3 linked regions of the Drosophila melanogaster genome follow. The protein of the gene in region 3 interacts with the protein of the main gene of each other region in a pairwise test. Each region holds a gene or a part of one and is shown on either strand. Other genes may lie near its edges.

The links.
Region 1: the proteins of CG14937 (region 3) and SkpA interact in a two-hybrid assay, tested with the Drosophila melanogaster proteins (2 studies listed by BioGRID).
Region 2: the proteins of CG14937 (region 3) and SkpC interact in a two-hybrid assay, tested with the Drosophila melanogaster proteins (2 studies listed by BioGRID).

What each region holds. Positions count from the first base shown.
Region 1 is NC_004354.4:654,009-658,403, reverse strand, and holds SkpA (SKP1-related A), read right to left. Parts: upstream 2,291-4,395; 5' UTR 1,620-2,290; exon of another isoform or gene 1,306-1,619; 5' UTR 1,295-1,305; coding exon 806-1,294; 3' UTR 505-805; downstream 1-504. Other genes in the region: Hmt4-20 (histone methyltransferase 4-20), read left to right, coding at 4,321-4,395.
Region 2 is NC_004354.4:19,814,411-19,817,219, forward strand, and holds SkpC (SKP1-related C), read left to right. Parts: upstream 1-1,661; 5' UTR 1,662-1,727; coding exon 1,728-2,204; 3' UTR 2,205-2,290; downstream 2,291-2,809.
Region 3 is NT_033779.5:11,791,899-11,795,898, forward strand, and holds CG14937 (uncharacterized protein), read right to left. Parts: upstream 2,189-4,000; 5' UTR 2,150-2,188; coding exon 2,128-2,149; intron 2,049-2,127; coding exon 733-2,048; 3' UTR 514-732; downstream 1-513. Other genes in the region: Tsp33B (tetraspanin 33B), read right to left, coding at 1-405.

The sequences.
Region 1 (4,395 bases), on a different chromosome or scaffold from region 3:
AAATTATAAATATCCCCCCGTTCTTCGATTCTTACAAAATTACTGCTTTCTTCTAAAATCCTAAAACCATGCTGTACCCCAGACGATATAAAAAAAAGATATATAAAGCGTCACAAATCTAATTTCCACACCCGTCGTAGCTTTTTAAAAGCAACATGAAAAGCTTTTTAAGGGCTGCTAAACGCTCCGCATATGAGAACATGCGTTGGCGCGCATTTCAATTGCACACTAAGTGGCAAAGTGGCAGCTACAGTATTACTCGCTATTCGCCGAAAGCGTGATCTTATGAATGTAGTTTCTATAGATAAGATAATCTAAGATATATATGTACCTTCTTGGGAACACGTAAAATTTTACCGACTGGACCATAAATGGCATGCGTATCCATTTCAAACGCTTGCAAACGTTTCTAAACACAAGATAACGAATAAAGAGCACTTCTTAATTTGAGAAGTCCTTGGACCCTAACCCCTCCGGGAAGCCCACAAAATAGGCTGTGTCTTTGTGTTGGGTAGTTATATTTATTAAAGTGAAATCAAGTGTTACTCCAATAGGTTAAAGAGAGTGTTACAATCTCGCATATGTATGTATATGAGATATATTTACGACAAAAAATGAACCCCGCGAATCAAATCAGCAACAGATCATTTATACACAATTTAAATCGAGTCTCTGCTGGGGTTAAAAATAAAAAAAAATGTAAATGAAAGTAGCAACTAAGTAAAGTTGCAATGCTGCAAATCCAATTCGTTCCCGAATCCCCTAGCTGTTTCAACTTAATGTTGGTCCCGCGAAATGCCGCGCTTTACTTCTCCTCGCACCACTCGTTCTCCTTGCGCACCTGCTCCTCCTCGGCGGGCGAAAAGTCCTTCTTAATGTTGAAGGTCTTGCGTATTTCCTCGGGAGTCTTTCCCTTAATCATGTTTGCAACAGTCTTGCAGGTGAGCTCCAGAAGGCCCTTAATGTCCAGATAGTTCGCTGCCAATATCAGCTCAAACAGTGTGCCCTGGTCGACTTTTAGGAAATCTGCATCCCATGAGATAATGTCGTCTGTGCGCTTCTCCTTGCTCTCATCATCCTCCGTTGGCTGGGGGTCGTCCTTGTGGTAGTGAGCCCAGGTAAGCACCTTGCGAAGAATCGTCGAATTCACATTGGGCAACGGCACAATGGCATTCTCATCGTCCTCCATGCCGCAGTCCTCCAGCATGGTCTTGATAGTGCCGGAGCACTTGGCGATCTGGATATCCGTGTCAAAGATCTCCTCATCCGAAGATTGCAACTTGATGCTGGGCATTTTGGGCTTTCCTGCAGTTAAGTTCAGTATAAAACATTAGGTTCTAGTTGAGAAATGTGTGGCAGTGCAATCAGTGTGTTTTTTAACAGTGTGTGGATCCCAATAGTCATTTCAATGCGTTTGCTTCGCATGCACCAAGTCGTCAATTATTGATAACAGATGTAAGCATATAAGCATGCGTGTAAATGAATATAAGCAACTAGGATGCAAACAATCATTTGTGAATTTTGTATGTTCATATCCCTGCAGTTTGCAGAGTCGCTCTCTTTAAAATTCAAACCGACTAAAATGAGGTCATATCAGATCAAAATTTGTATCGTATTACTCTTGCAGGTTATGCCTGTGTGGAAATCACCGTTGTTTTCGTACAAAGATAACAAACGATTGTGCACTTTCGATGTTTCTTTCGTGATGATTCAACGATGAAATGGTGATGAAGGGATAAGTAGAATCGAAACATAGAGAACGGCACTTTCCAGAAATGCTCACCCACACATCCACTCACCCCCACACAAGCCGACTCTACCACAGATGGATGCGTGCGTATGTTCGTTTTTCTTGTGGTTGCGAAAGCGTTCTTGCTTGCTATTTGTAGGCTTTTTATTTGTTTTCCGACTAACCTTACGATGATGCCTTTAAACGTACTGACACTATTTCCACGCAGGCTCCAACTGAGATATAAATCAACACACCAAATTCACAATACTCACGTAAAAAACGAAACGGCTATAGTGACCAGATGGCGAAACTCTAAAAACACCTCTAAACGTCTTTATCGAAGGCACGAACAACAACTAGCCACAATGAAAGAAAACTGGCGGGAACCAGGTGGACCTGGTAATGGTAACTTGCAGCACAGATTGGTGGCGAAGTCGAAAGCAGAATACGCATTGATAAATCTGAACACTTTCACACCGAATTGCACAGTAAACGGAAATTAATTTCTCTGAAAACAAATTACACCGATACTTTCAAATGGCGAATAGAGAATGGTGAGCGTCTCCGCTAACTGCGGTGGCAGTTTTAATCGTAGCAATCGATGGCATTCAATTATCGATACATATCGCACTGACTTCAGTGGTCGAAGCATCAACGTCTTTTTACATCACTAATCCGAGTATCGCGGAAAAAAAGCAGCCGCATTTTGTAAACTAAGTCCGAATTAGAGCTGATACAAGTCCCGACTTATTCGTCAAGAGGAGCGGCGGTAGCAAATAGCAACAGCGACACTTGGTGCAAAGAACGCAGAGGAGAAAGAAGTGAAAAAAGCATACATACATACGCACGTACACACGTCTCGCTAGTAGAGGGAATATATGTATATGCATACGGCTGGGTTTACGTGTGCTTGTGTGTGCTACAGCCGCTTCTAGGCGTGAAAGAGCGAGGGATACATTCTCTTCCCATACTCGCGACTTTTGGAGCGTCTCGCGAGCGAAAGAGAAAGCACGAGCCATGGACGGCGGTTGGAAGTTTTTGTGGAACAAAGGCGTCAAGAACTAAAATGATTTGGGACTGCAAGCGCGATTTATTTTGGGTACGCAGCCAAAGCCAAGCCATCCAAAACGGAGTCCAGCTCCAATCCAGTGTGTCGCCGTTTGTATATGTGAGTCTCGACGAAAAGCCGTGGAAAGAGACGGACACACGCACAGAGAAGCAGCAGACAAAGCATCGTTTTGCGAGATTGAGCGAGAGGCACAATATCGCCTTAGTTAATAAATTCATTTAAGGTAAATGCAGACAACAAATCGAAAAAGTGCAAAAAAAAAATCGGAACAGCATGAAGTGCATAAACACAGCAGACTGTGCGTGCATGTGTGTGTGAGTGTGTGTAACAGGCGCCGCCATTTTTCGTTACCATGCAACCAGCCAGCGTCTAGGGTTGGCAACCGCTTCGAAATGCTGTTAACAACAAAAAAAATTGGCGAACTCAAATTACAAAGCTACATCCACCCAGCGAAATTTATTGTAAACACCCGTTTTTCGGTTACCCCGCACACAAGTGTACTTAATTTGCAAGCCTTTGCGCACTTGGCAACCCTTCATCTTCCATTCTCACTGCGCATATGCCTCCCTCTCTCTCTCACCTGCGTTATGTGGTATGCGTTTGTAAACAGCTGAGAGAGCAATTTGCAAACGACATTCGTTTCCATTCAGAACAAATCGACCAACAAACAAATATTCAATTCCAGCGATGTTTCCCAGCACCACCCACTTGTGTTTATGATAGTTTATGCCCAGAAAGGTATTTCAGTTGTTGCACAGACTCAAGAAAATACAAGATTTGCAATTACTGTCTGCTGCGCATGCAAATCGATAAGACATTTTTGTTATGCTCGCCTTTTGTTCACCAGCATATAAATATATACGCGTACCCATTCATTTTAAATATTTTCGGCAGTAAGTGTGTGTATTCCAGGATTACCGAAGTGCCTTTTGTTTTTTGTGGATCAATACTTTTTTTTACATGTGCTTTCAAGTTAATTGATTTTTGTTAAACGTGTGTGTGCATGGGCTAAAAGGGCTTGGAATAAGTGCGAGCGAGAGGGATGGCTGTCGACGACATCAGTTACAAGCCCCCTCTTTCTCGGTCTCTCTCTCTCTCTTTCAAACGCGAAGCCGTAGGAATAAAAACTAAATTAGGGCCATTTTCAACGGAGCGAATATATTGGCAAAATGCCGGAACATATGGTTTGCGGATTGAGGATTATTGCAAGTCATCCAATCCTGTGAGAGAGTGTGTATGTATGGGTGCAGGACGTTTGCCTTTGTCCTAGTCTTGTCCTGAAAGCTTATGTCCATCTCGCTCTTTGTCGTGTTCGCAGACAACAGCGGCGTTGCCAGATGTAATAAAAGAGCTTATACCTGTCAGTGATTCAAATTCCAAAACAGCTGACAATTGCCGGGTTGATTGGGTTTGGTGGAATTGGTATATCTAAGATCGTATTAGTATTTGAGTGAAAAAGTGTGCACATCGTTTTGAATATACTTGTAATGCTGTTCATCCTTGCAGACTGTCGTGCAGAATGGTCGTCGGCTCTAACCACACGCGGCGCGGTGAAACTGGCAGCAGATTTACAAACAGCAGCAGCTCCAGCAGC
Region 2 (2,809 bases), on a different chromosome or scaffold from region 3:
TTATAGTCTAGCAATATAATTAGGGTTCAAGCAATTGTTCTCAGTGTATTCATTTGTCGCGTTAATCTGTATAGAATTTGTTCAACTTTGGGAAAAACAAGAGAGAATGCTATAGTCGAGTTCCCCGACTATCAGATACCCGTTACTCAGAAAAATCGATAGATATAAAAAAAAATTATAAAAATTTTAAAAAATTATTCCAAAGTGTGGGCGTGACCGGTTGGGCGGTTTTAGGGCGTTCGAGTGGGTGTGGCAAAATTTTTGTTTTTATCAATAGAAATTTACGAGACTAATAAAAATTTGAAATAATATCAACACGTTTTTCGAAAGTGTGGGCGTGGCAGTTTTGTGCGGTTTGTGGGCGTGGCAAATTAAATAAAAATTAAAAATACAAAAGTAATATAAAATAAGTCTCCTCCTTGGGTTCACATTTAAAGGAATTATTGCGAATAATTCAAATATTTGCGGATATAATTATTCAGAAAATTTCTCTCAGTGTACATTCGCAGTTTGATATCTTTCACGCAAGTATAGGTTTAGGTCCGATAGAATTTATCAATATGTTTACTTCAGCAGAAACTTCTCCCTCTGTATTCATGTCTTCTAACCCTAAAATTATTCTTGTCCACATGCTCACTTTTTTTAATTAATATATCTTTTAAGCATTTAAATTAAATACAAATCTTAGGGTTTTGGTTTATGTGCGGCTGCTGTCAATCGATGGGAAGGGGTGATCCCCGGGACGGCTCGAAAAGGGTGCTCCACAAGACGGCATGACTCGAGTTCATTTTTTTGCTGACCGCCTAATAGGTTAGAGCCTTTGCGTCAACTGGCACACAAAAAAAAAAACTTAAATCGCGTTCCGTTTGGCGGCTAGGAAAACTCACTCGAATAATGGTATTTTCGCACTTTGTTTTTGCTATCCAAAACGGACACTTTTTTGGCCGAATTGCATCCTCATCCTCGTATTAAGTACGTAATTAAGTACTAAAGCTAGCAAATCGAAATTCTTCTTTGTATCTTGGATTTAATATTAATATATTATTTTGGAACTCGGTTCAAAATACAGTTTTACGGTAACTGAAAATTTTGATTCTGTTAAGTGTATATATTTTATGGAAAGCAAGTTACACATAATTGGAGTGTTTCATAAAACAATAATAATACAGTAAAAGGGAATGTTAGAATCGCTAATGAGTATGTAACAGGTAGAAAGTGCCTTCTGTCCGTCTGTTTTTCAAATGAAAAAATATATATTTAATTTAAAGTTTTTTTGAAAAATTAGAGCAAGTAATGTAAGCCCACGTGCTATTTTCCAGTTCCCTCTGTTAAAAATATTTTTTACGGGGTTCTTTCCGGAACTATTATTTTGAAATTTTTTGATTGAGCACTTACCCAACATTCATATAGGTTTTAAAATTCATATTACACTTTTTTTTATTACACTTTTAAGGTCTGATATGATAAATAAAACACGATTCGCGATTCTCAATAAAAAAGCTAAAGCGAATCTACAGTTCTTAATGTTAAGACTTCCAATTTCTAGTGTGTACACACTTGACGACAGTGATTCCGCAGTGATCACATCTGGTCACTCTGTTCTCTATTCTTTTTTCTTTGAACTTTCGAATCGTCCAGTTGGCACGTGCTCTATCAATCATCCCATCTTGTTCTTCTGAATCTCTTTGAACGTAGTTTGGCAAATAGAAAGGCAAGGCAAACCGAAAATGGATGCTCCCACCATCAAGCTTGAGTCCTCGGATGGGATGATCTTTTCAACGGAAGTCCGAGCCGCCAAGCTCTCCGAAACCATCAAGACCATGTTGGAGGTCTCTGCCGTGGAGAACGACGAGAATGCCATTGTGCCGCTGCCCAAGGTGAACGCGTTCATCCTATCCAAGATTCTGACCTGGATCTATCACCACAAGGACGATGATGCCCATGGAGCGGAGGGCGTGGAGTTGAGCCCGCAAAGCCCACATGACATCTCAGCCTGGGACGCCAACTTTATTAACGTCGATCAACCCACCTTGTTCGAAATCATACTGGCCGCCAACTATCTGGAGATCAAGGGCCTAGTGGATCTCTGTTGCAAGACGGTGGCCAATATGATTAGGGGAAAGACTCCCGAGGAGATCCGCCACACGTTCAACATCCCGGACGAAATACCGAGCAGGACGGCCCAGTTGGGCGAAGACCTGTGAGGCACAGTCTCTTTCGGAGCAAATCCGGTTGGGACACCTGGAACCTTCCTTTGTTGAGAACTTATTTGTTTCACCAGAATAAATATGATATTACGAGTATTTTTGAAAGCATATCTATTGTATTTTATCAACATATTCAGTTTACAGTTTACTTTGGCAACAAGAACACATAAAACATAACTTTTTAAATCGTTTCATGTTCGCTTGGGCTAAAGGAGTGCTCTGGCTCTATTCCCAGTTGATTGCCACCAAGCCGCCCGGGGATACAAGCACACACCACACACCACACCACACACCGACCCACTCCACTCCATAGCACCCCAATCCCGGAATCCTGGTGCTCCTTAAGCCGGTTCCTGATTTGGCAGCCACGCTAATTTCCAAAAGCCTTGGCCGTTGGCGCTTATGAGCTCTGCATCCATGAAGTTCGCATTACGTATGTAAAATAGTGCAGAAAACCCCCAAATGAACCCAAGCCCAGGGTCCCAATCCTCGTATTCCAAACCCTTGGACACAACTTACGCACTTTACATACCGTTGCGGGGTGGGGAGGCGGGTGGTGGGTGGCAGGAGGCTGGGCAATGTCCTTTATTGTAAGTTAAGTT
Region 3 (4,000 bases):
CGAGTAGTACATGTCGATGCCGCGGGTCAGCGAGGTGTCCGCCGCATTCTCGAGGACATCGACACCCCGGTAAAGATTCCAAACGCACCCGAAACCGGAGGCAATGATTACGCAGGAGTAGAAGGCCCACACGGATAGCAAGAGGCGAATGTTCGGCGTGCAGCGACGCCGCCAAATTCGCCGCCACATGGCAATGCTGCAGAGAAAGGTCACCACCACCTGGGCGCCAAACACGTAGATCCCAAACAGATAGCCGTAGACCAGGCGGCACTCAATATCCGATAGATAGCCGGTGAGCACGGTGTGGTAGTAGGCGGTCACCACCAGGATCAGCAGTCCGATCACGGCCTCGGTTATTAACAGCAGGTGGAGGTAGACGGAGGCTCGGCGGAAGGGCTGGCGCATTTGGTCATCCTCGTGGGCATCGATCCAAAGTTTGGCTTGTCGACGAGGTTTTAGCTCTGAACTCGAATTTCATTTGGATTGACGCTGATTGCAAGGACTTGGGTGTTTGAATTTTAAAGTGTACTACAACTTGAATTTAATTTTTTTTATCCCTAAGGGCAGTAAAAACAATGATGCATTGAAAAATCGCTTTACAAATATGTATATTTACATCTTTTTATTTGGTAAGCAGTTGATAAATGTATACACTTAACTATATTTCAGTTTAAAACCTTTTCATTTTGGAGCTTGATCAGTTGGAGCATATCCCACTCATGGGGCAGCGGTTTACCGCACAAAGCTAAACTTGAGTACGCCAGATGTGTAGTCCGTATTGGGTCCAATCTGTTTTGCATCCACCTTTATCAGCCTTATGTTATCAACGCAGCGCGAACTTTGAACTATTTCCGGATTGATATCGCTATGCCGGATCCACAGCTCTAGAGGGCGAATGCGCCAGCTTTGCTTGGCCAAAATGGCAATACACCTCCAGACGAAGGATTCTCCATGGCAGAAGGTTCGAGTGATGTCGAGGACTCTCAGCTGTCGACAATTGATCACGAATTCCAGCAGGCCCAAAGGACTCTCCAACTGATAGCCACACAAATGGAGTTCGGTTAGCTCACCCAGTTGACTGGCTAGCTGCCGCAGTATCTGATCCCCCAGGCACTGCACCTGGACGCCCTCCTCCTTCTCCTCCTCTTCCTCTGGCTGGCTGTGCAGCTCCAGTCGCGTCAAGTGACTAAGATTTCCCAGCTCCCTGAAGAACCGGCCATAGTCGTGCAAAACTCCACTGAAACTAAAGGCCTCAATTTGTCGGCCATCGCCGGGAGGACTTGTGGGACTAACTATCCTCGATAGGACATCAAAGACAAAGTTCCTGGAATAGATCGACAGCTTTCGCAGGTTTGGCAATGTCAGTAGTTGCTGCGTAATATCCGACTCCATACACACGTGGTAATCCGCAATCTTGATATGCTCCAGTGTGGGACACAGCTGCAGATCCGCCAGATCACAGCAGTTCACCTCGTCACAGTCCTCCATTATGTCAAATTTGCGTAGTCGCAGCTGCCGGAAGATGTCCCTAAAGTGTTGCGATTCCAGAAAATGGCAATCATGCAGGCGGAGATCGGTAAGCTCATCCAGGTCGCATAGGTATTTTCCGGTAATTTGGCAGCCTCTAAGTTTGAGGCTTTTTAGATTGGGAAATACCCTCTGCAGCATTCGCACATCCTCATCCACGAAGCGAACGCGTCTCCGTCTATACACATTGCCCAGCCACTCGAAAGAGTGAATCCTCTCCAGCGTGTGGTTACTGAGCAGTCGCAGTCTTCGGACATCCAACTGCTTGCAACTCAGGTGCTGCATGTGCGGAGCCAGGGCCAAGATGAAAGCCACAAACTGTCGGGAATTGGCTCCCGAGCGTCCGAACATCTCGTCCTGCAGGACAACGTTGCGAACACGGGTCTCCCAGAGCATGTGCACTACGCCCGCCAAGCGCCTGTTCAACCTGCTAATCTGGAACTGCTGGTACGTGTCCAGCTGGCGGATGATCAAAGCCAGGACATCGTCATTCAGCTGGAGCAGCGTTACTGCAGTGGGTTCTAAAAAGTTGAAGGACGATCGTCTTAATAGGCTCAGTTGTATTGTTTTTTTTTTTTTCGTTTTTAGCCAATTCCTTACCTGTATCGCTTGCGGACGTCATCTGCGGTCTGTTCTCGATCGTGGTACTTGGAATACTAATGAATTCACGCAGTTGCCACGGTCAGTAGTCCGATGCTACCTAGTGCGAAGGTCATTTAGGGGTGGGTTTCCAGGCAGATCGGGCGGAATTCGCGCTACCTAAACGACTTATCCTTTTGGAGATGGGAAAACGAAGCGATAGTTTTCGGGGTATCCCAGAGATACGAAATCATAATAATATCCTTAACCAAAAAATATAATTCTACTCAGGGTTACTCAGTTTCTTGTAAAATCCGGTTTTATGCTTATGCTGCGCGTTTTTGCTGCTCATTTATTTGTTTTGTTTAGTGCTTACTACTTCATAAATTTTAATTACATTTTACTCGTAACTTGTACAATATATACTATATATATATATATTTCATTTGTTGTCCAATTTCTGTCGTATAGGCATATATATTTTAGGTATATATAGTGTTGTATTGTATCTGATTTATAGTACATTATTGTTTCTATTTAGTATTGTTACTGTTTGTTGCTTTTAATGTTTACGTTAATTGGGGCATTCCAAGCGTTTTCTTCAGCTTCTGTTAATTTTTCTCCTAGGAAACATTTTTGCCGCTGTCCCAGCGTTTAATCATTAAGGTTAATGGGTATGTGTCTGTCGATCAGTGAGTGTGGGTTGTGGAGAAAGTTACCTCTATTCTCACGGCTTGCACTACGCAACTTACAAGTAAATTATTTCGTTTGTTCATTAATATTGCAACACAAGTGAATTGTCTCCATAAACTTGCCTTTCACGTACTACACATACATATCCGTTATATATTAGTCAATAATCGTACAATAATATATATCTCTATATGCATTCTATATACTGCGCTCTATACACATCACCAAAAATCCAAAAACACCCAAAAACTAACACGGATACTCAACTACATAATTATAGACGTGTGATAGTGTGTGTTTGCGACTTCGAAAACAATTATTTTCAGTGTGAAAGCAAAATACATGCATATCAATGATAATTTCATTTTCAATTTTCAATTGTTCCCTGCATTCTAAGTGTATTCAAAATGTGCACTTTGCTGCGATGATCGTGAATCAATAAAATTAGGTTAAATAAAACCAAGTTCTGTCTTTAAATGGTTAAACAAACAGTTTTACATTTTCCGTTTATTCGTGTACAGTTACAGTTTGTTAAATTAAATTAAAATTGTATTTTAAGCATTTAATTCTCGATAATTAAATGTATAAAATGTTGCATTTAAAAGGAAGCATAATGTGTGGGTCGTGTGTCTGTCAGTTTGTCTGTGTATTGTTTTCTTACTAAATTATTAAACTTTGACTCGTGTTTAATATACTTTTTTTTAGATTTCTCTTCCTTTTTTGTAAAATTTAAAGCAGATATGTTGTTGCTTGTGGCGCTTGGGGATTTCTCGTTAATTGTTTCACTTTCTTTTATTTCGTTACGGCTTAAACTTGTTCTTAATGTTTGTTGTTTTCAACACAAGCACAGTTAAGGGTTATAATTAATTTTAGAGTTGTGCCTAGTCGTATATATGTATATGTATGGGTTGTTGTTGTTGTTGCTTGTTAACTTTAATAGTGGGGTAATAACTTGTTGTTATAGGTTTAGTATTCCATATATCATAATCGTAATTGTAATTGTAATCATAATGATTGGGCGACGCGCCCAACTAAAAACTACTCGCACTCCCACGCGGGAACTCCTATCTCCATTCCTTCGATCCGTGCTTTCAATCATTACTTTTAGTAGTTCAACTAACATTAAATATAATAACTTGTTTGTTTAATCCCTTTTCATTATCTCGTTAGTTGGGTCTGCCGTTATGCTGCTTCTGTTTCC